Diceros bicornis minor: one gene and its partners. Each later gene encodes a partner of the first gene's protein in a complex. Links are inferred from orthologs where the notes say so. Each region holds a gene or a part of one and is shown on either strand. Other genes may lie near its edges. The genes, in order: MAP2K1, KSR1 and KSR2.

The links.
Region 2: the proteins of MAP2K1 (region 1) and KSR1 are in contact, whole or in part, in a crystal structure (PDB 9AXH), measured with the Homo sapiens proteins. The link is inferred for Diceros bicornis minor from reciprocal best matches to the Homo sapiens genes MAP2K1 and KSR1. Residues at the interface, in NP_002746.1 of Homo sapiens: Asp217, Ala220, Asn221, Ser222, Phe223, Val224, Gly225, Thr226, Arg227, Ser228, Met230, Arg234, Leu235, Gln236, Gly237, Met308, Ala309, Ile310, Phe311, Leu314, Asp315, Val318, Asn319; in XP_011523731.1 of Homo sapiens: Asn767, Gln768, Leu769, Lys770, Leu771, Ser772, His773, Leu776, Val784, Arg785, Met787, Thr788, Pro789, Asn823, Gln824, Ala825, Ala826, Glu827, Ala828, Ser829, Ile830, Trp831, Gln832, Gly834, Ser835.
Region 3: the proteins of MAP2K1 (region 1) and KSR2 are in contact, whole or in part, in a crystal structure (PDB 7UMB), measured with the Homo sapiens proteins. The link is inferred for Diceros bicornis minor from reciprocal best matches to the Homo sapiens genes MAP2K1 and KSR2. Residues at the interface, in NP_002746.1 of Homo sapiens: Val81, Glu102, Met219, Ala220, Asn221, Ser222, Phe223, Val224, Gly225, Thr226, Arg227, Ser228, Met230, Arg234, Leu235, Gln236, Gly237, Met308, Ala309, Ile310, Phe311, Glu312, Leu314, Asp315, Val318, Asn319; in NP_775869.4 of Homo sapiens: Lys674, Arg818, Asp820, Lys821, Leu822, Arg823, Ile824, Gln825, Asn826, Ile837, Arg838, Gln839, Leu840, Ser841, Pro842, Gln877, Pro878, Ala879, Glu880, Ala881, Ile883, Trp884, Gln885, Gly887, Thr888, Met890.

The regions. Positions count from the first base shown.
Region 1 is NC_080744.1:60,564,220-60,574,372, reverse strand, and holds the start of MAP2K1 (dual specificity mitogen-activated protein kinase kinase 1), read right to left. Parts: upstream 4,584-10,153; 5' UTR 4,294-4,583; coding exon 4,214-4,293; intron 1-4,213. UniProt on the Homo sapiens protein: Dual specificity protein kinase which acts as an essential component of the MAP kinase signal transduction pathway.
Region 2 is NC_080757.1:20,098,197-20,109,098, forward strand, and holds the start of KSR1 (kinase suppressor of Ras 1), read right to left. Parts: upstream 4,017-10,902; 5' UTR 3,885-4,016; coding exon 3,654-3,884; intron 1-3,653.
Region 3 is NC_080774.1:15,000,204-15,010,557, reverse strand, and holds the start of KSR2 (kinase suppressor of Ras 2), read left to right. Parts: upstream 1-6,355; 5' UTR 6,356-7,396; coding exon 7,397-7,576; intron 7,577-10,354. UniProt on the Homo sapiens protein: Location-regulated scaffold connecting MEK to RAF. Has very low protein kinase activity and can phosphorylate MAP2K1 at several Ser and Thr residues with very low efficiency (in vitro).

The DNA of each region.
Region 1 (10,153 bases):
AGATTCCTGGTTCTCCTCCTTCCAAGAAGGCCTCCCTCTGAGGGTCAGCATGGCCATGTGATTTGCTTTGGCCAACGAAATGGGGGCAAAAGTGACATGTGTGCCTCCATCAGCCGGGATTTCTGATGGAATCCAATCCACAGAGCCTCCCACTGACCTGCAAGTGTGTTAAACTACTGAGATATAGCGGTTGTTCATTACCTCAACATAACCTAGTCTATCCCAACTGATGCAGATTTATAGCACAATCGCATTTTTAATAAAAACTGAATGTATTTAAGGTGTACAACATAATGACCTGATATACATATACATGATGAAGTGATTACTACAAATTTATTTAGTCAAGCTAATTAAATTAACATCTCCATCTCCTCAAATAGTTACTATTTTTTGTGTGTGTGATGAGAGCACTTGAAATCTATCTTAGCGAAATTCCAGTATTCAGTATAGTATTGTTAACTATCATCATCTTGCTGTACATTAGATCTCTAGACTTATTCATCCTACATAACTGCAGCTCTGTACCTTTGACTAGCATCTCCCCCTTTACCCCACCTCCCCACCCTCTGGTCACCACCTATCTACTCTCTGCTTCTATGTATTCACTTTTTTAGATTCCACATGTAAGTGAGATCATGCAGTACTTTTCTTTCTGTGTCTGGCTTATTTTACTTAGCATAATGTCCTCCAGGTCCATCCATGTTGTTGCAAATGGCAGATCTCCTTCTTTTTTAAGGCTGAATAAGAGCACAATAACATTGAGCACTCTAAGCACAGAAACACACAAAACAATACTATCCACCTCCCAAAGGTACACATATACCCAACAAATGGGTGGAATTATAAGACTGTATATTAAATACCCTAGAGTGGGTGACTGGGTGCCTGTGAAAGAAAAGGAAATGGGGAGAAGGGAATGAGAGTAAAGGGGAAAATTAAAGAAAAATGAAAAGGTATAAAAAGGTTTGTTAAACACATTGTGCAAATATTAGAAATTGCATTCACTCACTGATTCACTCAACAAACATTTGTGCACTTGTGTGCCAGATACTGTATTCTTGGTACTACTTACAGAGCAATGAATCAAAAAAAGGTAGCCCTATGCTTATAGTTCATGGTATACAGAAGAGACAGATATTTAAAATACCCTAGTAAAAAACTATAGACAGTGAATGAGTGTCATTAAAAAATCAGATGACATGAAAAAGAGGGACCTACTTTAGATTAGGTGGTCTGTGAGCATCTCTAAGGAAATGACATTTAAGAGGAGGGAAGATTGCTTCCTTCCTAGCTTGGGAAGAGGAAACGATGATTCATTCCAGGCAAAGGGAACAGCATGTGCAAGAGCCTGGAAGGAGTATGGACCATCCCATGGAGGAAGTGAAAGAGGACCAGTGTGGTGGGAGAAAGGAGCAGCAGGAAATGTGGTGAAAGAGATGGGGGTGGGGGCCACAACAGGCAGATTACTCAGTCTCACAGCCCAATATAAGGAGCTTGGATTTTATTCTAACTGCAATGGAACCATGAAAACATTTTAAGTGGGGGAATGATATGATCTTATTTCCAATTTATTACATTCTAACACTTCGCACCCTTGCAATATGCTCATACATTTTTGCAAAACTTGCAAAAGAAGTATTTTTGCATTCTTGTTCTCCAAGGACCCCAGAACTTGCATAAACTTCAGGTCCCATATAACCCAGCTCCGTCTGAATGGAGTACGTGCTACGGCAGAGGTAAATCCCAAGATGCCAGGGAGCCTCAGAGGAGAAGCAACCTTGCCAATTTAGTACCGAGTTCTTTACTGTCAATGGATTTTTTTTCTTCTTTAGTTTACATTGTATGATAACATTCAGAATTGTGCCATGGTCTAATCACAGAAATCATGAGAACAGCAGCTTTGCTTGAGAAACACAAAGGTGAAAAATGAAGATGTGTATAGCTTGCCCCCCATTAGTGCCAGATAATGTAGGGGAACAGTCCCTGTTTGTCTCAGGCAGCCTACACAAAGATGCCTCCTATTGTAACACAGCAATGAGTCACGGAGGTAGATGCAGATGGCACAGAAAACTAAGCGAGGGAGAGTCGTTTATCCAGAAGCAAAGGCACCTTAACACACAAATCTACCACCACCAACGGAAATTACCTTCCAGTTTCCTTCAGCCTTATCAACATTTACCCAGTACCTAAGATACCAGCAGCTAACATTTATGGAAGGTTTACTATGTACTCACTCATTTAATCTTCACAACTACTGTAAGTAGGTTCTATCATTAGCCCCATTTTCGCAGATGAAAAAACTGAACCTAAGCCTTAGACAGATCAAGAGACTTGTCCCAGATCACAAAACCAAAAGTAACAGAGCCACACTTCAAACTTAGCCTGACTCCAGAGTCCAACCTCTTAACCACTGATTAGAATCTCCCAGTCCCACCCAAATTTTTCTGCCAACTGCAGGGTAGTTTCTTCTCTTCCTCCCAACATTGCTTTCTTTACGGGAAATTTCCCCTCCTTTGCAAGCATACAGCTGTGGCATCACAATTAATAACAGAATGACAACAGGTACTTCTACTCAGTACCTTCCTCCAAATCAAATAGGAGCAGGATGATCAGGCCACAACATTCAGCTAGAATCCACTGTGGTCAAAACTTGTCCTGTCCTGCCCTGCACTGGAAGGCTTTCGGTCTTGTTTAAGGGGATAAAATTCTGTACACTAAAACTGAATGTTTGCAAAGCAATCTACTGACCTGTATAAGTCAATATTATGCAAAATAGACACGACAGTACTGAAAGGGGTTTGTTGGGAGCAGGTCTGAGGAACCTGGTTGAGCTCACACCACAGGTCCACCACCAGCCTTGTGATCATTACAGGCATGGACAGAGTCACCAAGTCAAAGGTCACCGGGCTATTAAAATCTAGAGAGAAAGGAAGGTTACAGAAATCACCAAAGGGGAGAAGGTCCAGACCCACTCTATTCATTTCATCAGCTGGCTTCCTAAAGTCTCCAGTGTGCAGATAAAAGATTAAGAACCAAATCTTTTCTGGTTATTTCTCCAGCTAGCTGGGTCTCTCTCCCTCACACAGTCTTGTCCCTTACCCAGGACACAAAAGAGTTGTGGGAGCTCAGAAACACCCATGAAACAGCCTCATCGTTATCTGATTGTTTAAATAAAGTGCTGGACTGTTAGCAACACTGGAAGCTGCAGAGATGGAGCAACTTGCATGTGGTTTCCACGGCCATGGTGTTCTTGTCTCAGGCCAGGAGTTTTTAGGGCTCACAGCCAACTAAGGAAAGTCAGGGGAGTCATGGGTGAGGAGTGGTTTGCTGAATGAATGAATGAAGAGTCAGATCAAGAAAGGGAAGGCTAGGGCCAGCCTATGGCATAGCGGTTGAGCGCAGGCATTCCGCTGCTGGCAGCAGGCGTTCGGATCCGGGGTGCGCACCCACGGCACCGCTTCTCGGGCCATGCTGAGGCCATGTCGAGGCCATGTCACACATACAGCAACTAGAAGGATACGCAGCTATGACATACAACTATCTACTGGGGCTTTGGTGGAAAAAAAATAAATAAATAAAATTATAAAAAAAAAAGGGGGAAAGCCGCTTCCTCCGAGTCAAGACAGTTTCCAGGAAGAAGGCCAAGGACCGGGAGCCCCCAAAGTCGGCAATGGAAAACCCCGGGGAAGTCGGCCTACACACGCCCCCGCTGGGCGGGCAGCGGCCGCAAGGAGGCACTGCCCGCCCACAGGTGTCGGGCAGCCAGGTGAGGATGCGGCTCGCCAGTCTCAACTCCACACTCCACACCCTGAGCCGGTCTCAAAGACGCAGACGTGATCTTAATTTTTTCCAAGACCTTTGTTCCCTTCTCCCCGGTCAGGCCAGAATCCCAGAGGAGCCGGGAAACAGCTGGGGAGGGGCGGGGGATGAACCAGTTTTTATTTTGAGGGGAGATAGGGAGTGGCCAGGAATGACTGAAAAGGTCGGGAAAGGGGAGGAAAGATCGAGACTCGTCGAGTCCACTGACCGGTCTGAGTCAGGAGCATAATCAGTGCTTAGTCACCGATACCTCGGCGGCCGGGAGTTCCTCGCCCGCCCGCGACCTACGTGACCAACCCGAGCGGAGCCCGCGCGCACACCCGGCCCGGCTCCCGCGCCCGGCGCGGCCTCCCCAGCCCGGCCCCGGAGCTCGCCGCCCACCCAGACTTACTCCGCCGAGCTGGTCCCGTTAACGGCCGAGCCGTCGGGCGCCGGGTTCAGCTGGATGGGCGTCGGCTTCTTCTTGGGCATTTTGGACCCGGGGAAGGCGCTTCCAACTCCGAGGGGAGGGCGGCCCCTCTTGCTTCCTCCCTCTAAGCTGCCCCGCGCCCGCCGCGCGGGCCAAGTCGGGGCCGCGGGCCCGGGGCTGCCTTCGGTGGGCGCGCCCCTCGCGGTCCCGTCGGCGCCGAGTGCCCGGAAGCGGCCGGGATTCCCTCCCTCCCTCAGTCAATCGGTGCCCCGGGCTCGAGCGGCCCCGCCGCGCGGACCAGAGCCCCACTCCAGCTACCGCCCGGGAAAGCGCCGCCGTCGCCGCGCTCCCACCGCTCCGCGCAGCCGTCCCAGGGCGGGACTGGAGGGCGGGGGAGGGGTGAGGGCGGGGGAGGGGCGGGCAAAGGGGAAGCCTCGCCCCCTACCGGGCTGCGGCGTTTTCCACACACCCACTCGGCACCGCCCCCCCCATTGCCTCGCCGACAGCCAATGGGAGCACGCCTCGGCGGCGGATAACGCGGAAGTACGTCACGGGGGCGCGGCGCGCCGTCCTGGGGGCGGGGTCCGGCGCTGGGTCCACAGCGCCCTCTGGTGACCGGAGCCACCCGGTGGACCCACCGGGAAAGGAGGTCGCGCGTGCTGGTTCCCGAAGCTAGCCTCTCCGGCGGAGTCACGTTGACGGAGATGAAATAATAAAATGAATAAGGAAAAGGACCGTTTCTCGTTTCTAGCGGATAGGCAGCGTGGGGGAATAGAAAATTTGTGAAGAGACTCCTTGCGCCTAACAAACTGGCAAATATGTATAAAATGGTAATATACACTGCTACTCTACTAACGAGGGTACAAGGAGATGGGACTCAGTGCTGATGAGACTGTAAATTGGGGCAACCTTTCTTCAGAGCAGATTGGTAATATTTTTTAAAGCCTTAAAAAAAACCTTTCAACCAATTATTCCAGTTCTATAAAACTCGAAGAAGATATGACTAAAGAGTTTAATAAAAGAGGGACGATACCTATTCAAAAATGCACATTCAGTCCTCTTCTCCTTTGCCCTTCCTACAGTATTCAGTCTTAAAGGCATTAGGTGTGCAGAACAAAGGAAGCATGTGCTTCTGGTGGTCCAGAGCAGGGTGTCAGCCACTGTTTGCAATATATAGAGGGAGTTTTGTAGCCTTTGGTGCTGTTTGAATTTTTTATTATATATATGACCTATTCAATTAAAAACAAAAAAAACTTTTAAAAATATTAACATGGGAATGTAAAATAGTGCAGACACTTTAGAAAACAGTCAGGCAGTTCCTCAAACAGTTGAATATAATTACCATATGACCCAGCAATTCCACTCCTAACTATATACTCAAGAGAAATGAAAAACATATATCCATACAAAAACTTGCACACAAATGTTTATGGCAGCATTATTCATAATAGCCGAAAAGGGGAAACAACCCAAATGTCCATAAACTGATGAATCAATAAACAAAATGTGGCATATCCATACAATGGAATATTAGCCATAAAAAGGAATGAAGAGTTGATCTATGCTACAGCATGGAGGAACCTGAAAACATTATGCTAAGTGAAAGAAGCCAGTCAGAAAAGACCATGTGTTGTATGATTTCATTTATATGAAATGTCCAGAATAGACAAATCTATAGAGATAGAAAGTAGCTTAGACATTGCTTAGGGCTTGGTGGGGGCAGGTAAACAAGGGATAGTAGGATGATAGCTAAAGGGTAGGGATTTCTTAATGAGGTGATGAAAATGTCTTAAAATTGACAGTGATGATAATTGCATATCTCTGTGAATTTATTAAAACCATTGAATTTTACACTTTAAATGGATGAATTGTATGATATGTGAATTGTCTTTTCATAAAGCTGTTATTTACCATCCCTGATGGTCTAGCTGTTAAGAGTCCATCCTCTCACCACCTCGGCCTGGATTCGTTTCCAGGTCAGGGAAACCACCACCCATCTCTTAATTGTCATACTGTAGTGCTTGTGTGTTGCTGTGATGCTGAAAGCTATGCCACTAGTATTTCAAATAATAGCAGGATCACCCATGATGGACAGGTTTCAGCAGAGCTTCCAGACTAGACAGATAGGAAAAAGGCCCTGGCCACCCACTTCCAAAAAAATCGGCCATGAAAACTCTATGAATAGCAGCATTGTTGGATATAGTGCCAGGAGTGAGAGGATAATGCAAAATGATGGAGCAGTGTTCTGTTGTGCAGTACGTGGGGTCGCTAGGAGTCAGAATCCACTCAAAGGCGCTAACAGCAAAAAAGCCATTATTAAAACAACAATATCAACAAAGAAATTCAGGGGAAAACTGGAATAGCCAAGATAATCTTGAAGAACAAAGCTGGAGTATTTACACTACCAGATATCAGATCTATCTAAGATTGGGTGTTTAAGACAGTATGTCACTGGCACAAGAATAGACAACTAGACCAATGGAGTAGAATAAAGAGTCTGGAAACAAACCCATATGTATTTGATCACCTGATTTATCACAAAGTTGACAATACAGTACAGTGGGAGAAAGGCTGGTCTTTTATTTTTTTATTTATTTATTTTTGTTTTGTGAGGAAGATCAGCCCTGAGCTAACATCCATGCTAATCCTCCTCTTTTTGCTGAGGAAGACCAGCTCTGAACTAACATCTACTGCCAATCCTCCTCCTTTTTTTTTTCCCCAAAGCCCCAGTAGATAGTTGTACGTCATAGTTGAACATCCTTCTAGTTGCTGTATGTGGGATGTGGCCTCAGCATGGCGGGAGAAGCGATGCATCGGTGCGCGCCCGGGATCCGAACCAGGGCTGCCAGTAGCGGAGCGCGCACACTTAACTGCTAAGCCACAGGGCTGGCTCTGGTCTTTTAAATAAATGGTGCTGGGTCAGTTGACTATCCATATGGAAAAAAATGTCTTGACCCCTACATCACACCATACATAACAAATCAACTCTAGATGGATTATAGAACTAAATAAAACTTTTAGAAGAAAATATTGGAGGGCCGGCCTCGTGGCTTAACGGTTAAGTGCGTGCGCTCCACTGCTTGAGCTTCAAAAAGGGTAAAAAGAGAGAAGAGATTTGCAATGGATATATTGGAAAAAGAACTCGTATCCATAATATATAAAGAACTCCTACACATTAACAAAAAAAAAAGACAGACAATCCAATAGAATTATGGGCAAAAGATTTGACAAGGCACTTAATAAAAGAAGATATCCAAATGGTCAATAATCATGAAAAGATGCTGAACTTCTTTAGTTATCAGGAAAGTGCAAATTAAAACTATAATATGAGGGCCGGCCCTGTGGCTTAGCGGTTATGTGCTCGCGCTCCACTACTGGCAGCCCGGGGTTCAGATCCCCGGTGCGCACTGACGCACTGCTTCTCTGGCCATGCTGAGGCCGAGTCCCACATACAGCCACTAGAAGGATGTGCAACTATGACATACAACTATCTACTGGGGCTTTGGGGAAAAAAAAAAGGAGGAGGATTGGCAATAGATGTTAGCTCAGAGCCGGTCTTCCTCAGCAAAAAGAGGAGGATTAGCATGGATGTTAGCTCAGGGCTGATCTCCCTCACAAAAAAAAAAAAAAAAACTATAATATGAGTACTCAACGCCACTAAATTGTATACTTAAAAATGGTCAAGGGGCCGGCCCGGTGGCGCAAGTGGTTAAGTGCGCGCGCTCCGCTGCGGCGGCCCGGGGTTCGCTGGTTCGGATCCCGGGCGCGCACCGAAGTACTGCTTGGTAAGCCATGCTATGGCGGCGTCCCATATAAAGTGGAGGAAGATGGGCATGGATGTTAGCCCAGGGCCGTCTTCCTCAGCAAAAAAAGAGGAGGATTGGCGGATGTTAGCTCAGGGCTGATCTCCTCACAAAAAAAAAAAAAAAAAATGGTCAAAATGGTAAATTTTATGTATATTTTACCACAATTAAAAAAGACTGCTATGATACTACACCCACTATTCTGGCTAAATTGAAAAGGATACATAACAGAAAATGTTGATAAGATGTGGAGCAACTAGGACAAGACTCTCTTGCACTGATGGTAGGAATATAAATTTGCGCAACCAGTTTGAAAAGATGTTTGGCAGTATCTATTAAGTTTAATTTACATCTGCCCTATGACCCAGAGATTCTACCCCTAGGCACAAACCTACAGAAATCAATATATATGTTCACCATGGGGCCAGCCTGGTGGCATAGCGGTTAAGTTCATACACTCTGCTTCAGCAGCCCAGGGTTTGCAGATTTGGATCCTGGGCACAGACTTATGCACCACCTATCAAGCCATGCTGTGGCAGTGTCCCACATATAAAGTAGAGGAAGATGGGTACAGATGTTAGCCCAGGGCCGATCTTCCTCGGCAAAAAGGGGAGGATTGGCAACATATGTTAGCTCAGGGCTAATCTTCTTCACCAAAAAAAGAAAGAAAGAAAGAAAGTAATACTACTTTATATATAAAGTTCAAAGCTGGTAAACCTCATCTATGGTGGTAGAAATTGGGGTAGTAGTTATCCTTGAGGAGGAATGTAATAGGAAGGTGAGTTGAAGGGGGCTTTTAGGGTACTGGTAGTGTTTGCTTTCTTGATCTGGGTGCAGGTTACACAAGTGTGTTCCGTTTATGATTTTCTGGTTGTATGTTACCCTTCAATAAAACAATTACCAGAGAAAAGAAAAAGAAATTCACTTGACATCACTAATCATCAGGGAAATGCAAATCAAAATCACAATGAGATATCCTCTCACACCTGTTAGAATGGCTGTTATCACAAAAAGACAAGAGATAACAAGTGTTGGCAAGGTGTGGAGAAAAGAGAACCCTTGTATACTGGTGGGAATACTCGGTGGGAATGCAGATTGATACAGCCACTATGGAAAACAGTATGAAGGTTCCTCAAATAAATAGAAATTAAAAATAGAACTACCCATATGATCCAGAAATCTCACTTCTGGGTATATATCCAAAAGAATTGAGGTTAGGATCTCCTAGAGATATCTGCACTCCTATGTTCATTGCATCATTATTTGCAATAGCCAAGATGTAGAAACAACCTAAGTGTCTGTGAATGGATGAATGGATAAAGAAGATGAATGGATAAAGAATAACAATAGAATACTATTTAGCCACAAGAAAGAAGGAAATCCTGCTATTTGCAACAACACGGCAGACCTTGAGGGCATTGTGCTAAGTGAGATAAATCAGAGAAAGACGAATACTGTATGATATTACTTACATGTGGAATCTAAAAAAGCCAAACTCGGGCCGGCCCCGTGGCTTAGTGGTTAACTGCGTGCGCTCCGCTGCTGGCAGCCCGGGTTCGAATCCCGGGCGCGCACGGACGCACTGCTTCTCCGGCCATGCTGAGGCCACGTCCCACATACAGCAACTAGAAGGATGTGCAGCTATGACATACAACTATCTACTGGGGCTTTGGGGAAAAAAATAAATAAATAAAAATTATTAAAAAAGCCAAACTCAGAGAAACAGAGAGTAGAGTGGTGGTTACTAGGGACCAGGGGTGGGGTGGGGGCGAGGGGGCGGGTGGAGGAAATGAGGAGGTATTGGTCAAAGAGTACAAACTTCTAGTTGTAAGAGTAACGAGTTTTGGGATCTAATGTACAGCATGGTGATTATAGCTAATAATACTGTATTATATACTTGCATGTTGCTAAGAGACTAGATCTTAAATGTTCTCACTACGAAAAAGAAATGGTAATTATGTGACAGGATGGATGTGTTAGCTAATGCTATGTCGATAATCATTTTGCAATATATAAATGTATCAAATCAATTCCTTGTACACCTTAAACTTATACAATGTTATGTGTCAATTATATGCCAGTAAAACGGGGCAGGGGGGTGGGGGGAGAGAAATCACAA
Region 2 (10,902 bases), on another chromosome or scaffold:
GAGAAGGGCAAGCCTCCCTCATTTTCTGAGTAGCAGCAGGGCCTCCCCCAGGCACCTCCTGGCTCCAGGGCAACTTCTCAGTGAAGTGGCTGTACCTACACAGCTTCCCAATGTCCCCTCCCCAGCAAGGCCTGGCAAGGTCCTTCGGGGACCCCTTTCTCCAGGTCAGCTTGCTTAGCAGGGACTTTTCTCTGAAAGAGCACAAGGTGGGGAGACGGTGTGGCCACGCTTGTCTCTGGAAAGCACTAAAAGGCTGGCGGGAAAGGGCAAAGCTACAATGTTCACAAAACGTGAATCTTCACGAGGCACCACTGTCTCCCCAGTGCCCAGCACAGACTCGGCTCACTGAGGATGAATAAATGAGGGAATGAACTGGTGTGAGGCTCTAGCCAGGTGTCCCAAGGGAGCACATCGGGGGGATGAGAACATTCTATCTTGCCTCAGTGGAGTTCTCAGACCCCTAGGAGGGTCTGATGGAGACAGGACAGCAGGTTCTGCCAGGATGAAGTAGCCTCACAACTTCTCTTTACAGATTCAGACTCTGGGTTCAGATTTCGTCTTCCTCCCTTCCCACACAGAGAGAAAAAATGGAAGTGTGACGAAGATTGGTGGATTTCCAGGAAATCTTAGGAGACTGAGAAGGGTCCAGCACACTGGCTGGCAGGTAGGAGGCAGACACTAAATCTTGGCTCCTTTCACTCTTTTGGATACAAACTGGACCACTACACACAGAAAAGCCATCACAGGGCAGCCAGACATGAGGACCCCACACCCCATCACAACCTGGAATCTCAGGCACCAGCAGCTGGGCCCAGTCAGGGACTTCCAGAGGCATGTCACGTGTTGCTTCTTGCACTGACTGCTTATTTAATAAGGGCCAGAGTGGACTGAGCTTCCTAACATCCTGGGAGAAGTCTGGCACTGTTGCGTAAGCCAGGCCCTCTGGTTGGACCCTTCTTCAAAGGCCAGGAATCCAGTGTTGCAAGCACTGTCTCTGGGGGCCCTGGCCTGGTATGTGAGAAGAGCCTGCAGAACAGGAAAGAAAGCCAGAGTGGACATCGCCCTGCCCCGCCTGAGCTCACCACATGCTGCTGGGACAGTTTCCTGGCCTGTGTCACCCGCCTCTAGTAAATAAGAGCCAGCTATAGAAGTACCTCCCCTAACGGTGGTCTGTGGTGGGAATGTCATTACACCCTCACTAGGGATAGTTTATACGCAAAATCTCTTAGGAGTAAGAGTGCAGACTCACGGATTCACAACAACATTGCAGGTTTAAGTGGTCTCGTGCCCATTTTACAGATGAGAAGCCTAAGAATCAGAAGTCATGGGACTTGCTCAAGGTCACTCAGACAGAACCCAGACCCGAATTCAAAGCCATGGGCTTTCCGTCTGCCACACTGCCCCTGCCCCTCTCGTCAGGATTCTTTGAGTTATACACTTCCCCCCTATTTTATCATTTGGTAAATCTGGATTTTAGAACCATTCTTAAACAGGAGTACATATAGCAAACGTCTGATTCAACCCAACTGAGACCCCTTCACTAAGCCACAGAATTTAGAGCCGCACGAGCCCGCAGAGATCCACTCCAACCTCCTTCTTCAGGTGGGGAGACTGAGGCCCCCGGGATAAAGTGATTCTTCCAAACTAGCTGGTGGTGGCCCAGGGAACTAGCTCCAGAGGCCTAAATTCCCTTCCCTAGAAACAACCCAAGTCCCGCCTTTTCAGGGAGTAGGTGGACTCGAATCCACGTCATAGTGGAGAGGACAGGGGGTGAGGTACTGGTTCCTGTTAACACTGATAAATCCCCTTGGCCTTTGGGTGGGTTTCCAGCTGCCAGAGCCAATCATCAAATAAACACTCGGGGGGGACCACTGAATAAAGCAGCTCAGAGACCTAAATAGCTGGACGCTTTGGGGTATCATGATGCCATACCTTCGTCAAAATGAGGGACTTGGGAATTCAGCAAGTAGTTCTCCTGTATACACTCTGGAAACTGGGAGCACTTCAGAGCGACATGGGGACCAGTGGAGAGAGATCAACGGAGAACCTTCTCTCATCCCAACAACACAAGAGTCCAACCAGACACATGCTGCCGGACAACGACCCTCCTCCCAGAACTAGGCCACACAGGCCCCCTATTGTGTCGGTTTAAAAACTGAGCTTTGCTGGGCAAATACACTTGGCTGTGTTCGAGAAACCAGTTTCCTTTACCACTTGGAAAACAGCAGCATGCATGCAGAAGGGACAGTTGTGGAGGGTTTTGTTGATTGGTTTGTTTTTGAAGCAAAGCCCTGGTCAGTACTGCTATAGCAACTGTAACAAAAATAATAGACAGCACTGATTGCATGCTTCCAATGTCCCTGGGTTCGTAGCTTTCAAGAAAATAAAACTGAAGGAGAAGTCACCCGTGAGCATTTTGGATCAAACAGGGATTCAGGCTTGTGGTGCACACAGAGGATTGGATCTTGTAATAATTACCACAAACCACCGGCTGGCCCTATGACAGCTGCCACAGGCAATTAGCAACGGGGGGGGGGGGGGGGGGGGGGGGTGTTTGAATGAGAAATTAAGGTTCTAATAAAACAAAACATCCCAGATCTGCAGAAGGCCAGATGTGGCAATGTAAGGTGGAAAGAGGCCCCTTCTTCTGACAGAGTAGCTATTAACTGGTCGCTGGAATTTCACAGCCTTCCCAGTCTCTAGACAAAAGCAAGTTAGGAATGCACTAGTTTCCCTCTATTGTGTATGGGGGAGGGGGAGACTCCCCCTTCCGGGAACCCAACAACGCTTTCGGCTGGTTCTGCCAAATCCTTTACTACTGCACTTCCCAGCTATAATTTGAGAGATGAGGGCCCGCATATCTTAATTTCTTCTTTGTACTAGAGGCTGTCTCCACCAGAACCCCTTAAATAGTGTCATCTTCCCACCAAAGGCTTCCTTCCCCAACATAATCCTTCCTACGCCAAAATCCAATGTTGGGGGGTGGGGTGGGGGGAGTCGGTGGGTAACTACATTTTGAGCAGTGAAACGCCCGTGGCAGTGCGAAAGGAAAGCACCGAATGCCTGAACAGCAAAAATGCAGTCTCAGCAAACACTTTTTGAAAAGCGGCAGAAGAGAACCTGGAGTAGAGGAAAGGAAGGCATGAGACGGGGTCTGGGGCGTGAGGGGAAGACAGAGAACCGCGGGCCTGCGCTCACACTTCAGGGGGACATCCCCTCGCCCGTCACCCCGGCCCACGGCTGCTCGGCTCAGTCACACAGGGAAGCGTCCAGCGTGTGACTCAGTGGGAGAATGAGTCCTGCGGCCCCGCAAGCAGGAATGGGGTGGGGGCGGGTGGGGAGGCAGGGAATGTCCGCGCGCAGCCCGCCCCTCCCACGGGCTCCTCGAGCCTCCATCCCAATTCCCACTCCGCCCTTCCCCCCAAATCCGGCCCAAGGTGAGGGGCTGGTCCTGGGTCCTCAAGCTGCCGCATCAGCGAGTGGAGGAGGGAGAGGAAGCCTCAAAGGGGGCGACCTGGGCTCAAGGATGCAATTGGGGAATGAGTGAAACGGCGCAGCAAGGGAGGTGTTGGGGGCCGCTTCCCCGGCCGCCGACCCCTGCCTTCTCCCGCCCAACGCGGGTCCCCGATTCTCCCGCGCCGCGGCCCCCTTACCTCCAGGGTGCGGATCTCCTGCTGGGTGAGGTCGTTGGACACGGCGCACTTGGTGCGCAGCCCGCGCAGGCTGCCGATGGAGATGTCGATGAGCTTCTGGAGCTGCCCGCACTGCTGCAGCGCCCGGCTGGCCGCGGCCCCGGCGCCCCCATCCGCGGCCGCCGCGTGCCCCCCGCAGCCGCCCTCCTTCTTCTCCCCCATCGCCGCCGCGCGCAGCGCCGCTCTATCCATGCCTCGGCATCGGGGCCGCGGGGTGGCCGAGGCGGGGAGCCCGGGGGCGCGGGCGCCTCGGAAGCGAAGCCCCGAGCCGGGAGGGCTGGACCAGGAGCGCACCGCGGCGCTGCCGGAGCCGGGACGCAAGGAGAGCCGGCCGCGAGCCCGCCGCTGCCGCCCAGCCGCGGCGGCAAAGCGAAAGCCGCGACGACCCGACGGCTGCGGCTCCCGGAGCCTTTAAGTGGCCGCGGGGGCCGGGTCAGGGCAGCTGGGCATGCTGGGACTTGTAGTCCGTGCCGCGCACCTGCTGCCCGGCCCGCGCCCCGCGCCCGGCGCCCCGCAGTCCGGGCCTGCCGCTCCACGGCGGGTGCGGGCGGTGCAGGATCGCCCCGCCTCTGCCCCCCGGGAGTCGCTGCTCCGCGCCGGCTCCTCCCCCGGGCGCCCAGAGTCTGAGGAGCCTCATTTCCCTCTCCCCCGCCCCAGCCTGGGGTTTCCCGCGACCTCCGGATGGGGCGGGGCAGCGTCCGCGGCTCCCCAGAGCGGTGGAGGGTGCTCATTTTGCCCTTCCTCACCCGCAGCCGAACCCTGGAAGATGGGGACAGTGGAGGCTCCCGAATTTCTTTGTGGGTTTAGGGGCCGCCATCTAGTGGGAAGGGGCCTAAAGTACTTGTCCTGTAGCTGGTTCACAAAGCGCTGTGAACTGTCTCGATTGTCTACCCCAAAGGGAATGCTCAGGCATGGAGAAAGACATCAGGGCTTTCTTCTGGACCCTCTTTACCCACCAAAATAAGCGTCCCATCCCTCCACCGACCCAGCAGGTCGGCCCAGACGCTTGAGGCTGCACATTGATTTGTCGTGCGCTTGGGAGCCCACTAAAGCAGATGGCCTGGGTTCAAACTCAGACTCGACCGCTGCCTAGCTGTGTGACCTCCTTCAGGTTCCCTCTGCCGCTTTTCAAAAAGTGTTTGGTGAAACTGCATTTTTGCTGTTCAGGTCAGGCATTCGGTGCTTTCCTTTCGCACTGCCACGGGGGTTTCGCTACTCAAAATGTAGTTACCCGCCGACTCCCCCCACCCCACCCCTCCACCCCCCAACATTGGATTTTGGCGTAGGAAGGATTTTGCTGGGGAAGGAAGCCTTTGGTGGGAAGATGACACTATTTAAGGGGTTCTAGTGGAGACAGCCTCCAGTACAAAGAAGAAGTAAGATATGCGGGCCCTCATCTCTCAAATTATAGCTGGGAAGTGCAGTAGTAAAGGACTTGGCAGAACCAGCCAAAAGCGTTGTTGGGTTCCCAGAAGGGGGAGTCTGAGTTTCCCCATCAGTAGGAGTGATAATAATACCTATCTCATAGGGTTCATATGAAGAATGAGTTAATGTACGCCCAGCACCTAGGTTGACTATTGGCACGTAGAGTCACTGGATGAATGTTAGCAATTGTCACTATCTAACCTCAGATCTCCTAAACATGGCCCCAGACCAAGCAGTGGGCATGGGCACAGTGCTGCTACTGGACTGGTAGTCCTCTATTTGTCTGCACCTTTCTGTGCCTCCTAACTCAGAATTCAAGCCCCAACCCATCCTCCCACCTTCCCCTCTCACCTCCTCCCAGTTCACAAGGGCTCTATTATCTGGTTAAACGGAGAAGCCAAGACCCTCGTCAAAGTTCTCACACATCTGTACTTCCAGCATCTGCTGACCAGAAGAAATCTCTCTCCTCCGAATTTTCTCTTGTAAGCTCCTTGGCTGCAGAAGTGGCTGGCTAACTTATCTTTGTATCCTCTTCCCAGAGCCAAATACGGTGCGTGGCACACAGTAGGGGCTCCATAATGTTGTGCAACCCGTTTCTTGAGTTCTTGTAGCAAGGTCCTATGCCGAGTTCTCTCCTGTCTCTCAGGCCAGCTCAGGCCTAGGCACTTAGTAGGTTATCTCCCTCCCCACTCCACCCCCCCCACCCCCCTATATATACACACTGTATACTTTGTTTTGAGAACGAGGATTGGGCAGGAGGTGGAGTCCAAGCGTTGTTTTCCTGCCTGAGCTATACATACGGTCAGTACTGGGTGGCAGTTTATATAACACCTTCCTTTGCTGTGGTTTGAAATTTCAAAATAAATTAAATATGAGGTCTAAAAAACAAAATTATGATAACTTTAAAAAGTACTTTTGCAAACTAACCCCTCCTCTGGAGATTTTCTGAAACGCAGGGACGTCCTCCCCAACTGCTGACCCTTCCCACTAACAGTCACTGCTTCAATCCTCACTTCCTGTATAAAAAGACTCCCTGCACTGTCTCCATGATGTCCCCCAACCTGACTGTTACCTTAACCCCCTGCCCCGACTCTCCTCCTCACCCTGCAGCACAATAATAATTGCCCTGAGACAGAAACTGTGTCTCAGACTTGAGGTTGGATCAGAATGTCCTGGAGGGCTTGTTAATACAGAGTGGTGGACCCCACCCACAGAGTTTCCCATTCAGGAGGTTAAGGATGGGGCTGGAGAATTTGCATTTCTAACAAGTTCTCTGGTGATGCTGATGCAGCTGGTCTGGAGGCGGAACTTTGAGAAGCTTTGGTACAGAGGAAGGTCAGTGGCCAGGAGAACTCTGTCTCAGAACGTCCACAGCGCAGCCTGGCTGGTTCAGAACCTCCATTTGCTCAGCAGCCAGAGCTGCCAGGCTTGAGCCACTGACTCACTCTAATTCAATTCACAAGAGATTTCCTGATAAGTGCCTATTTATGCATTTACGGTAAGCTTGTAATTGCCACTGGGGCCTGGTCGACACGTTATTCCCCAGGGCCACTTTATATGGAAAGCCATATCCTGAGAAGCGCCATTGCCAGCCAGTGGCATCCATACCTACCCATGCCACCACGGCAGTGGTGTCGGGGCTGGAGATTGGACAAACCAGCTCCCTGACTACTCTCCCACCGGGCTCCGTGTGGCCAGTCCCTCTTCTGTGGACACAGTCTTCCTTCTGATTTGTTGAAAGCATCCAGAAAGCCTCAGCCTTGCTTGCCAGTTCATCTCAGATGCACTCCAGCCTTCTTGACTGGGTTTGGGTGTGCTGTCAGTCACACATTTACAGAACTGCCTCCTAGAGATACAGAAAGCAAGGATTTTTAAATAGTTCCTTCATTCATCCTTTTAGCATTCAATAATTATTCATCATGCCTACTTATGTGCAGACCCTGTTCTGGGCTCTGGGAAACAGGAGTGAACAAAACAAAGATCCTTACCCTCGGGAATTTATATTCTGGTGAGAGAAGACGGACAATAAACAAATAAGTGAACTGCTCGGTATATTAGGTGGTGACAGGTGCTATGGCGCAACAGAAAGCAGGGAGAGCAGCGTTTGCAACTTTCAGTAGAGCTGTTTTAGTGAGTGGGGTTCTCAGTCTACCTCTGAATCACTGGCTGACCTTGAGCAAGTCTCCTAATCTGATAGCCCCTCTCCTCATTTGCAAGATGGAGATTATGTGTTGTGAGGATGAATGGAGATCATTATGCAAAGTGATAGTCACCAAGTAAGGGGTCAACATATTTATTTTTATTTATTTGATAAATATTATGTGCCAGGCTCTGCTCTGATGCCTTATTTAACTCATTTAACTAATGGTAGTCACTTTCCTTCGCCATCTTCCAGCATGAATCTCTTCTGGTTAGATGAATTCATCTATCGTGTGTTGATTCTTAGTTTCAACTTCTCAGGTTCTTGAGACTTTTTCTGTGGCATCCTTAGTATGGAAAGTTTGCTCATTCCCTCCTCCCCCTCTGCCTCAGACACCTCCGTTAGTGTCACTCTGAGTCTTCCCAGCTTGGACGCCCCCATGTGCATCTCCACACCACAGCAGCCAGGCAAACATGCTCATGTATAGACTCAAAAGACATGAACAGGGTTCCTATCATGTGCCTGGCTCTGGGATAGCCCAGAATGAAGGAAACCAAGTCCTTGGTCATACGGAACATAGGTGAGTGGAGACAGGAAACTAACAAGTCAACAAATATTATCACCGAAATAAATTCAGAGAATGATAGGTACTGAGAAGGGAAAAAAATCAAATAGCTGATAGCAAGTCCCCAGGGGATGAGGTGCCTCCTTAGATGAAGTAGTCAGAGAAGTACTCTCTGATTGATCATTGAACTAAGATCTAAATAAAGTAAAGAGCAAGCCCCATAGAGCTCCAGAAAGGGGCATTCTAGGTGACGGGAACACCATGTGCAAAGGCGCTGAGGCAGGAACAACTTGGCACACTCCAGGAACAGAATGAAGGCCAGTGTGGCTGGCTACAGCATGATGAGAGAGAACAGGGATTGGACATGGTGTGAGATTGCTGGGCAGTGGCCAGATAAAGTAAGACATGGGCAGGAAGTTTGGATTTTTCTCTAAGTCTTTGTTACGCTAGATGTGGTCCAAGATGACTGCATCACCTTGGAGCTTGTTAGAAATGCAGAGTCTCGAACCCCACCCCAGATCAACTGAATCACGACCCAGATTTTAGCAAGATCCCCATATGAGTTGAACGTATGTTACAGTTTTAGAAGCATAGCTCTCTGAGTACGTGGAAAGAAAGACACATTCCTTGTAAGGGAAGTTTTGAAAGATCCCTCTGCCCACCATGTGGAGACTGGATGGTAGAGAGGCCGAGGCAGAAGCGTGGGCACTGGTTTTGAGACTGAGGCGGTAGCCCAGGCAAGGATCAGGAGTGGAGGAGATGGAGGAAATAGAGGGGATGGAGGACACGTTTTGGAGACAGAGTCAACAGGACAAGCCGATGGGTTGAATGTGGAAGGAGGAAAGAAATGACTTTGGCCATCCTGGCCAGATAGCATCCACTCCTCCAAAGTTACGGCAGGGCACTGCGGGAGGAGCCCTACCCTGCAGTCAGGGGTGGCCCCACCCTCAGGTGCCAAATCCACTCTCCCCCCCATCCCCACCTCCATCCCCAGCATTATCTCAGGACTCAGCAGGTTTTTGTTGGAACCTAAGGCAGTGCAGGGGGAGCTTTGGTTTCCTGGATTTCACCTTCAGTTAAATCACCCAGGAAATTCGTGGAGTCATAATGAACTCTATTATTATTACATACACCTGTGCTCATTCATTAATTTATTCCTTCATTCATTCAGCAAGTATTTACTGAGCCCCCAGTATGTGCTTAGCACTGTGCTAGACTCTGGGATAGAGCAGTAAATGGTCCATCACTTTATAGTCGATAAAAGGACTTTCCTTTGATTTGAGGTCACAGCAATCTGTGTTGGCTTCCTAAGGCCCATCCCATGTTGCTCCCCCAGCTAGAAAACCCCATGGTTCCCTGTTGACCTCAGAGTGAAGTCTGAATTCCTGAACAAGGCCTACAAGGCCCTTCATTCCCAGGCTCTGCCCACCCCTCCAAACCAATCTACTACCCAAGGATTTTTGAGTCGTTATCCCAGTTTAAGAATCTGATGAAAATAGAAAGCCTTTCTCTAGAAAAGAATAACACACACATGCTCACAATTGGGATACAACTTCAGGAAGTTTGTGGGCCCCCTTCAGGGTACCCATGAACCCCAGGGCCGTAGACAAGGTTAGGAAGCCCGCTTAACCGTGGGTCCTCACTGCCTTTACTCAACAACCTTGGGTCATACCAGGCAGTGTCACGTCATCGTGCCTTTGCTCAGGCTGTCACTTCTGCTCACAGTCCCTCCTCTCCGTCTCCCCCACATACATTTCTACTCATCTCATAGATCTAGCTCATATGCCCCCACCCCCTCTCCCACAACAGAATCAATCTTTCTGGCTTCCATGTTCCTCCAGAACTCTGCACACATCACACATTTCTGGTTCTTTCCCTGCCTGTTTCCCTGACGGGGTAGTGAGCCTCATTGGACTCAATTAGACTCCGTATGACCTTGCAAAAGTTTTTCGCCTCACTGAGCTTCTATTTCCTCATCTGTAAAAATGAGTATAACAATCTCCCCCTCCAGGGTGGCCGAGAGGGGTAAAGGAAATAAAGTAGACAGGCGGGGCACACGGCACACGGTGTTTGAATAAACAAATGATGAGTCGCATTTTACAGACGGAGAAACCAGGGCCTCTCTCTAGGGATGCTGACCCCTGGTGGCCTTTGGTGCTCATCCTACAAGATATCACCACCACCCATGCAGTGTGGTCAGAACCAGCTCTGGGTCAGGTAGCAAGAAGGAGCCAATTTGAAAAAAGGTCTTCTCGGCCCTGAAACAGAAGACATCCAAGTTGTCATGGGCTTTATAGGCAACCTGGCAGGAGAGAACTACTCTGGGCGATGCATGGAGAAACTGGTCCAGGGAAAGCCGGGAGGTGATGTGGGTACACTCTTTGTTCCCAGTTACCTCTCCTAAACCATTTAACCTCCTCCACTCTCAAATCCTTGCCACAACAGAAGCCATCAGGGTATGCCATGTGCTCCCGCATCTTGTGCTTTCTTGCACCAATCTCCCAATCACTTCAGTTCTTCTGTTGTGGGCCCCAGCTTCCTCTCCACCCTAATGCTTCATCAAAGCCTCCCATCCATTTTCATTATCACCTTTTCCACTGTCACCCGCTCATGGCCTCCCTTCCCTCCTTAGCCCATGTGGATTCCATGCCCCACCATGACTATCGCTCCCTAGCTAACCCCCTCAATAAACTTGCCCCTCTCTTTCTACAATGTGGACCAGGCTAAGTCCCAGCCCTCCTAAACCACGCCCACCCCCCCCCCCCCCGCCACCTTCTCCAGGCCTGTGCCAGAGCAGCTGAATGATGCTGCAGAAAAGCACACAGCCCTGTTGATGGGTTGCTCTTTAAATTCATGACCACAAACCTCAAATTGGCAGTCCTCATGCCTGGCAAGCCTACCAACCTTTCCTAGAAAGTTCGCTTTCCTGCTTTCAGAGATGGCTATTTCCTACTTCCTTCTGTCTCCACAAACTACCCTGTACTCCTCAGCTGCTGGTCTTGACTCATCCTTCGTTGAGAAAGTAGAATCCATCAAACCAAATCTACCACCCTCCTACCCTGTGCCCGTGCTTCCTGCCT
Region 3 (10,354 bases), on another chromosome or scaffold:
AGCTGGAACTAAGTTAGAACTAGTTAGACTTAGTTGGAACTAAGGAGAAAGGGACTCTTTCTGATGGGGTTGCTAAGTCCTCTGTGGCCCTCTTTGCCACATCCTGGGGAAAAGCCATCTAAAAACAAAGCTGACACAGAAGAAAGCAGAGCTGAGAAAAAAGGATGGTACCAGGCATACAGTGGAATATTATGCAACCACAAAAAGGAGTGAAGTACTGATAACACTACAACACGAACGAACCTTGAAAACATTATGCTAAGTGAAATAATCCAGACACAAAAGGACAAATATTGTATAATTCCACTTATATGGAATATCCAGAATAGGGAAATCCATAGAGACAGAAAGCAGCTTAGTGGCTGCCAGAGGCTGGGAGAAGCAGGGAATGTGGAGTGACTGCTAAATGTGTGTGGGGTTTTCTTTTGGGGTAATGAAAACATTCTGGAACTAGGTAGTGGTGATGGTTGCACAACATTGTGAATGTACTAAATGTCACTAGTGGTAAATTTTATGTTATGTATATTTGACCACAATAAAAACAAACCAAAAGAACCAGAACTTCAACCAGGCTGCCTCGGAGGGATGCCATGAATGTTGTTCATAAGGTGCCCACATTAGGGGGGCAAGTCTGAAATCCAGACTGTACTCTGTCCCCCCAGGTGTGTACCTTTGCAGAGCAGCTGCCTTTTTCTGACTCACGCAAAGACACCATTTGGGCTAATGCAGAACTTCATAGAAAAGATGGCGGAAGAAGTACGCTAGTTTGGTGGATGGCATCACTTTACTGCAATTTTCAACACCACTCCTCCACGGCACATCTCCAAGTACTTGGAGAGTGCCACAGTACGCATCCTCTCCCCTCCTGAGGGTGCTGTATCTGAAAACTCACAGTGCATCGCTGAGTGCTTAATTTGTAAAGCCAACATAAATGACTGGACTAGACTGTCCATTACCGTGAGCTCAAATTATCTCGCCATCAAGAGAATGAGCTGGTTGCTTTGCTCACACTGGAAAACTAAGAGACAAAGAGGCAAGAGGCCAAAAGGAGAACTCTAGAGAAAGTCAGTTTTCAGATGTTGGAAAAACTTCACAAGGTTAAAGAGAGGGACATTTTGCCTGCACTCACTGAAGGTATTTTTAAAAAGCCATTTATGTTTTGGGGATCAATGAGTTAGAACAGAACAATAATAACCATCTTGCAGCGATGATTTTTTGGGTGTATCCCGGGGACTAGCATTCTGAGATTTTTTTCTTCTCCTTGAAGAATCAATAGAAAAAAGGAGAAAAGAAAAAAGAAATGCCCTGGGAGGGCAGTATGTTGAGCCCTTCAAGGAGAAGTCAGTGTTAGTTTTGTTCAGTTCCAGGGGCATCGGCCACCCCTTTACCTCCCAATCTGCCATTTCCCAACTTGGGTCCCTGTTCACAACGCAACTTAGAAACTATTGGGGCCAGCTCATCACTAATACAACAGGATGTAGAATGAGACTTTTCCTGTTGACCCAGAACTTCAGCTAAAGCTTCAAAGGTGAGGGCAGTGGGTAACAATACTTCCTCCTTCTGTTAAGAGGTGGCCAGACTGGTCCTTTGAGTATCAATAACCATCAACCTCCAGCCTATACAAGACAAGGTCAAGATTTTATCTGACAGGCCTTTGTAGGGAGCTTTTCTTCTCCCTTTACAACCCCAAGCCAAGAGAGGAGAGTTCAAAGAAGAATCGCTTTTGAGACTGGGAGCACCAGTGGGGGGTGGCTGGCATCTCCCCCAACCGGCTGAAGGCTGCCTGGGGCTGCCCATGATGGCAGTGAGGAGAGACGGCAGCAGGGCAAAGGTGCAACCTGTTTCCCACGGGCCAGGGAGTACGCACTTAGGCTTGAGTCATCCTGAAAAGACTCACCCAAGAGGGGAGCCTGCCAGGCAAGGGGAAAAGAATGTGGGGTGTGTCCTGGGGTATGAATGGAAAAGAGGTGTGCAAGAGGTCAGCTGACGCGTGCAATGAGTCCCCACGGGGGTCTCCAAAGATCCCCCAGTGTGTCTCATGTAAAAGCCAGCATGTGAGTGCTTGCCAGGACATGTGGGGACATCTGACACTCGAGAGAGTACTATACCTGTACTCACCTGTTCTCAGCTCAGGGTCCCTTTTCCACTCCTCTCTCTGCTCCAGGTGAGCTGGAGAGGAGGCAGGAAAGGACACACCTGCCCTTGTCTCCACTGCAGATTCATTAGCCATCCGTGGGTCCAACTCGAGGGGGTGGGGAAGAAGGTATTAAACTGGATATGAGAATGAAGTTTTGATTGGACTAGACTGGACTTCTAATACCTGAATATGAGACTGTTCTTAGAGTTGAAACTAAAAGCTATGGGATCTAATGAGATATTGCCAAGTTCAGCTCACTCAGTAGCCCAATGACAATGATTTATTTCTGCCATGGATAAAGCCACTCTGAGACACGCATCATTCAGAGGTCATATGCAGTTTCTGGGATGAAATAAAACAATAAAAACAACAACACAATTCTCATCAGTTAGCTCCTGTTCTCCAAGCTTGAAATTGGGGAGGTTCTTATTGGTCTGAGGTGCAAACCACCTTAAGCTATACCAGGAGGAGCAACACAAATGCCTACAGGGGCCAGGCAGGAAACAAATAATGAATGAAGGGGGCTGGGTGGGGACTGTGGTGAACTGGAGAGCCTGTGTCCCATCTGGAAGGGACAGGTGCCTCATATCTAGCCAATAGTTGCCCAACGTGGCCAGATCTTCCCATTTTCCCAGAAAGGCCAGAAATCTCCATTTTTTGTAGTATTTCCTGATTTTGGAATTATTGGCAAGAATATTAGTCAGGGTTCTTTGTTGCAAACGACACAATCTACTCCAGGTCGTTTAAGCAGAATTGCTTTAATAGGGCGGTACTATGGACTGAATTGTGTGCCCCCAAATTCATATGTTGAAGCCCTAACCCCCCATATATCTTTACAGTCTTTAGGAGGTAATTAAGGTTAGATGAAGTCAAAAGGGTGAGGCCTTAATCAAATAGGGCTGTGGCCTCATAAGAAGAGGAAGCCATATGAGTCACGTCTGCCATGTGAGGATACAGCGGGAAGGCGCCATCTGCAATCCAGGAAGAGAGCTCTCACCAGACCCCAAACATGCCAGCACCCTGATCTCAGACTTCCAGCCTCCACAACTGTGGGAAAATAAGTTTCTGTTGTTTAAGCCACTCATCTATGGTATTTTGTTATGGCAGCCTGGGCAGACTAAGACAGGTGGTTAGAAAGCCTATAGAATTTCCAGGAGGACAAGAGAGCCAGGCTCGGACTGTGCAGCCAGGACTAATGTGAAACCACACTGTGGGGCTGCCCCTATGAACACCACGCCATGCCTCTCAGCACAGACATGAAGCTTACACAGGGGCAGGACACCTGGAAACAGGTGCATTGGCTGCTATGCTCACTAGCAGATAGATTCCTCCCCTTTGTTTCTCACTTTCCAGCAGAAATCTCATGTGATGTGTCAAATGGTAGAGCTTAGATCTCATGAGACATGGTTGCAAGGAAGGTGCTGGAAAAGTGCTTCAGTTTCTCTTATGGAGAGGTGGAACTCATAATGTGGGATATTTTCCAAACATAGAAGGATATTCAAAGGAGGCTAGGTGGATGCAAAGTATAACAAATGTCCACTACAGCAATCAATTGAAAAAAGGGGAGGGGTCAAACAGACGCATTTGTGTGGTGCTTATAGCTCTGCCAGTTGATGACTTCTGACCTCTGGGCTATTTTCACTGTTTAAACTTCCACTTCCTTTGAAAACAACTAGAAAAGTCAGATCAAATCATCATCATCATTTCATCATCATGTGCTTAATGACATTCAGAGAGCTGCTGAAGCAACCAGGACCGAAGGGGCCAGGATTCTGGAGAGAGGGGAACCGTGTTGAGGCGAGCTGACAGTCTGCAGCCACTGTTTCCCTGGGGACGTTTGCAAATTTGGGCAGATGGAATCTAGACTTTTCCCAGCTAAGGGGGCTGCTGCTGGGGGACAGAGAAACCAGCAGAACTTTTGGCACTCTCACAGGGTTGGAGACACAATCGGGGACTTGAGAGGCTAATATCCCAGAGAGAAGGGAGGGGCAGAAAAGTGAGCTTGATGGATGGCAGTCTTCCCCTTAAAGCATTTGGCAAATTCCGAAACAGTGCAGGCCAAGAGGCTAAGAAGCCAACCAGAAAGCCCCTGAAAAACAGAGCAGTTTTCAGCAGTCTTGCCAAGTTATGGAGACAAAGATGAGTGCTCAGGACAAGAGGGGAGGGGCTTTGGTGAACACCCCAAGTTCTCATTTGGAATCCCTGAAAGGCAAAGCCTTAGGAATGGGGGTCAAAGTTAGATGGTGTCTTATCAGACCTGTAACCCAGTCTCCACTCAGCTCAGCCTCTGATAGAATCAAGATGATCAGTCCCCACACCATCTGTCCTGCAAAGAAAGGGTGAGCCCTCTCCAGAGCTGGATAACATCACCTGGAGACTCTGTATTTTTTCATACACAATGCCTGGCATTCAACAATTACAAGACCTGCCAAGAGACAGGACCACATCACTGAAAACACAGAGAAAAACAGTCAATGGAAACAGACCCCACGGGTGACCGAGGTATCAGAATTAGACAAAGGCTTTAAAATAACCATGATTAATATGTTCAAGAAAAACAAAGCAAAAGATGGAGAAAATAGATGAAAAGAGAATTTTACCAGAGAATTGAAATCCATAAACTTCATAGTCCAAAAGCGTGAGAACATAGAGAACTCTCCTGAGCTCCTCATGACAGAGAGATTTTGAAAATGCTGATTCAGCTCTGTATGAGCAAAAAAAACCCATGGCCCACAGTCTTAAAAAAAGTTTGCCTTTGGGGCCGGCCCTGTGGCTTAGCGGTTGAGTGCGCGCACTCCGCGACTGGGGGCCCAGGTTCGGATCCGGGTGCGCAGGGACGCACTGCTTCTCTGGCTATGCTGAGGCCACATCCCACATACAGCAACTAGAAGGATGTGCAACTATGACATACAACTATCTACTGGGGCTTTGGGAAAAAAACAAAAAGAGGAGGATTGGCAATAGATGTTAGCTCAGAGCCGGTCTTCCTCAGCAAAAAGAGAAAGATTAGCACGGATGTTAGCTCAGGGCTGATCTTCCTCACAAAAAAAAAAAAAAGAGTTTGCCTTCACTGGCTGTCATTCTCCATACCTCTCAAGTGGCTTCCTTTTAAGGGGCACATATTGTACCATGTGTTCTGAGTCTACTCTGCCCTGTAAGCCCAGTTCCCTGGCATGGAGCTCTGGTCACCAGGAGAAAGAGATGTCTCTTGCTAACAATCCTCAATACATCCTTTGGGCAATGTGTGTTGAGAGTACCATTAATTGAGGTGGTCAGAGATGAAGCCTCTCTGAGATGACATTTGAGTTGACCCTGAGTGACAAGGAGCCAACCAGGAGAGCTAGGGGGAAATGTGGTCCAGGCAGAGTGGATATAGAGTGCAAAGAACTCCAAGGCAAGGATATGTTTGGTGATTTAATCAGGGGTTGGCAAACTTATCTGTAATGGGCCAGATTAGTGAATATTTTAGGCATTGCAAGTCATACAGTGTCTGTTGCAACTACTCAATTCTGGTGTTATAATGCAAAGTAACCACAGACAATAAATGAAAGGGTGGCAGTGTTCCAATAAAACTTATTTATGGACACTGAAATGTGAATTCTTTATAATTTTCACGTGTCAGAAAATACTCTTCTTTTGATTTTTTTCCAATCATTTTAAAATGTAAAAAGCATTTTTAGCCCTGAGGCCATAGTTTGCTAATATAAGGTCGGTTAGGTAGGCTGGGATCAGATCTTTCAGGGCATGTCGGACACAATAACAGTCAGATTAAGGCAAAGCCCCTTTCCCCCTCCAAATGGACAGCCACCGGCAGGGTAACTGCAGGCCAGGGCACCAATGCTGCGAGGCCGCTTCCCACAGCTCATGGAAGATCATCAGGTATGTTTTATTTTCCACCAGTAACAAGAAAGGACAAATGAACGAAAAGACAGACACGCACATCGAGCCAGAAAGCCAGAGAGGACGTGCCCAGGTTCACGCTGATGTTTCTCCCGCACGCACTACGGGTTTTAAAGTTGGGCGCACACCTGCTCCCAGCCAGAGCGCACCTGCTGAGCAGTACTTGGCCTCGTCTCGCGAGAGCGCTGCTGTAGTAGTGGCCCCCACCCCCATCCCGCCACCAAATCCCTCTCCCCGCCTCCTCGCCCAGCCTCCGCGCTCTGGCACCCTCCCCGCCACCTCCACCGCCCCGGAGCAGCCTCGGCCGCCGCGCGCGCTTCCCCCACGCCCCCGCCCGCCCGTCGCTCGCTCGCACGCACGCCCGCTAGTAATTTCACTTTGCCACGCGAGCTCCGTATCCCGAGAAATCCCGCCCCCCGCTCCCCCTGGCCCCGCCGGGAGCCGGCCCTTTCCCCGGCCAGGTGCGCGAGCCTGCGCGCTCCTCCCCCGCCTCCTCCGGCGGGTCCCTGGCGCGCCGGGGCCGGGGCCCGGCTGGGGCGGATGCGCGCACGGCGCCTCTCCACCAACCCGCTCCCCTGCAGGTCCCTCGCTCGCTCGCTCGCCATCCCTCGCCGGCGCTCCCTCGCTCCCCCCACCCCCCCTTGATTGACAGGCAAGATGTCGGTGTGGAGCGAGGCAGGAGCGAGTGCAGCAGCCGTCACCCCCGGAGCCCGGCGGCGGCAGCAGCAGCAGCAGCAGCAGCAGCGCGAGGAGGAGACAGCAGCCAGCCGCAGTCGCCGCCGCAGCCGCGGGAGCAATGCAGACAGCATCTTGAGAACGCGCTAAAGCCCCCAAACGCTGGACAATGCCGTGTCACTGCAACTGGGAGGGGGGCAAAGCAGAATTTTTTTGACATAAAAGCAAGCCAGCCAAAAATATATAATTTTGTCCTTCACGGAGCCGGTGTGTAAAGAGTGAGCGCTGTTTTCCTTCTCCCCCTCCTCTTCCTCCTCCCCTTCTCCCTCCCCCCACTCCTCCTCTTTTTCCTCCTCCTCCTCCCTAAGTGTACAGACAGCATCACATCACCTGGTTTGCTTCTGAGAAACAGCATCTCTCCTTTTCAAGGACCAGAGACTCAGAGAGAGGAGACATTCTAATGGAGTCTGCTTGATACCCCAAAATAAAATAATAAATTTTGGCTCCTGTCCCCTCCTCCCACCCCCACCCCCTCAACCCCGTGTGAGATGTTGGGTTTCTTCTTCATGAGACATTGTTGAGAAGTCGCAGTGGTTGGAGAGGCGGCGGGGGTAGACTACCTCCCCCCCCCCCTTTTTTCTCTCTGGGAGGAGGAGGAGGGGAAGGGGGCTTGCAGAGCAAGCGATGGATGAGGAAAACATGACGAAAAGCGAGGAGCAGCAGCCTCTGAGTTTGCAAAAAGCCTTACAGCAGTGCGAGTTGGTCCAAAACATGATAGACCTGAGCATCTCCAACCTGGAAGGGCTTAGGACCAAATGTGCTACCTCCAACGACCTCACACAAAAAGAAATCCGGACCCTGGAGGTAGGTGCTGCCTACGGGGGAAAAAGCAATCCTTGCTTCCCTCCGCTGTCTCCCCGCCGTCCCCTTTCCTTTAATTCTGTTTGTATGGGGGGTGGGGGGGGGTGGCAAGGTGGGCACGATGTGGTTTTCTGTGATTTATCTTGCAAAGCCTGCACTGGGTGGCCCTTTACTGTACTGCTGTCGTCTACGCTTGGCTGGGTGGTGGTAGTAGTAGTAGTAATTGTTATTCTTTATTATTATTCTTGCGGCTGTTATTATCATTTGCTTCTTCTCTAAGGAGTGAGTTCTCTCTTTTTTCCGCTCGTGGATTTGTTTATATGCCATGGGGGCTCGTGTGCCGGGTAAGACATTAAGGCGCTGCAGAGAACCCACAGAAAACCACGTGACCTTGCGCATTCTGCAGGTGGTCAAAAGGTGGTTTTGCTCGCAGAATGGGGCTGCCTATAAATACAGACCTCTTCTTCTCTCGGCCTGCTTCCCAGCGCCCCTTTTGCTCCTTGGATTTTGTGGTTTTTCCAGTGATGTATGTATGTCAGGAGGCAAGATGCATGAAAAAAAAATCCCCATTGAGCTACTCATTTCCAATCAAATCATTTGGATGCAGGGAGATGTTGCAGGCCTAAAACGCGTAAAAAGCTTAAAAAAAAAATAATTCCTGGAACAGCACACACAAGTGGTGTGGGAAAATACTCTTGAATCTCGGTGGGACCGGGAGGAAAGGGGTGGGAGGAGGAGTTATCGTTGGTTTGTTGTAACATTCTCTCCAACAGAACTTCAGGGGGAGTTTGAAGCAGTTTTGTGGGGGTGGGATGGATGCAAAGTTACTCAGAAAGAAGATGGCAGAAATTATTTCTTCCAAAAGCTATTTGGTCAAAGGCGGAAGGTTTCAAGAGCCTTAGAAAATGCCTGTGTCCATGTTATCATTGGGCATCCACGATGCTTGCAACATCTGAAGGGTTCCACTCACTTTTCTCTCTCAAACCGGCCCAGCCGTACACATGGCTTGATTAAATTTGGGAACTCCCATTAGCTGGCATTTGCTGAGAGTGGTGGCAATGGGGCTGGGAGCAAAGAACAGAGGTTCTGCCTGTGGTGGAGTGGGCATGTGCAATGCTGGCAGGTTCCTTCTATTTCCAAGGCCTGAACTCTTCAATCCTTACAGCATCTTTTAACCCTGGTGCCCCTGTTCTAGCCTGGATGAGCACCTCTCTCTGATTCACTGTCTTTCTTTTTCCTCTATGGTTTTAAATTTGGCTAGATGTCAGCCCGCAGGAAGGTCATCAGTTTGAAAGTGGAGTTTGTGTGTGTGTGTGTGAGTGTTGAATATGCTGTTTGCTACCCTCGAATGTGTGTCTAGGTGCACCTGTCATCTGGGAGAATGATTCTCAGAAATGAAATAAGATGAATGTCAAAGGGTGTTAGAGGAGTGGGAATTCTGTTGGGAGGCACAGGTCTTTTCTTTCTCAGAGGTTGGGGAGAGCAGTCTAGTCTAGGACTCTGCTGCTGGAAGAAAAATGTGGGATGCCCTGGGCCAGCCTCCTGTCTGAGCAGTGACCAAGATAAAATTCTGTTCAGAACTGCGTGCAGTAAGTAAATAAGTAACCCCAAAGAGCCACATGGGGTCTCTTCTGGTCCTCTGAGTCAGGAGTCCCAAATGCTAGTTTGCGTACGGCTGTGTAAGTTTCTCAAGTTTTCTTTGCCTCTTCAACGTGCTCCATCCTCTGATAACACCTTGGAGAATGGTGGTTGTCACAGTGGGCTCTGGATTCTGTGGCTTCTTTTCTGCCTAGTGGTTTTCTTTTTAAACTGGAGGTTGGAGGCATTGGTAGGGTGGGAGGTTGACGCTATTGAGAATGCATCTGTTTGTTTGTTTCCTAGTCCTAATATGCCACAGAGCATGCCAAGCACTTTATCCATATTGCCCAGGGAGAGCCTCGAGCAGTCATGCAAATTTAGGCTTCCCAGGTCTGTAGGGGTAGGGTGGGGCCACCGAGGAGGGGCTGGTGACTTGGGGTCCAGCCAAACCTCACGTAGGCTTTGGATCCACAGGATTTTTTATCCCAGAGGTTGTCAAATTTTGCATATCAAAACCAGCCAGGAGAGCTTATTAAAAATGCACATTCTCGGCCTCTAACGCCAGAGGTTCTAATTCAGTTGGGATTGGATGGGGGCCCAGGAATCTGCGTTTAATAAACAGTCAAGGTGTTTCTGATGCGTGTTTTCATATTGACACTTTGAGAAATACTAATCTATTAGGAGATGGATGGCATGGTTCAGCTATTTGATGGTGACGACTCTCTGCTCACAAATGCTAAAGAAAGTAGTAAATTGAACAGACCATCCCTAAAAACCTTGATAGTAAGCAAAATTTAGTATCATGCATATATGCCTGTAGAAACAAGAATATACATCATGGACTTAGCCTTCAAGAAACATACTTCGTGGTTAGGGAGACAAAGCTAATAATATATATGTGTGAAATAATGAGAAAGTCCAAACAGTGAATAACATGGGAGACAGCACAGTCCAAACAGTGTGGGGCCATTAGGAATGTGTTCAGCTGCGTGAAATGGTAAATCCATCCACAGTGGTTAAGCAAATAGTGGTTTCTTTTTCTCATGTAGCAAGAGGTCTGGAGGTATTTAGCTGCTGAGTTGGCTCAGTAAGTTAATAATATCAGGGCTGATGTCTTTGCGAATTCTGATGGCCTCTTCCTTGTGGTTGCAAGATGGCTCCTGAACCTTTCACCATTACACCCAGGTTCAGGGCAGGAAGGAG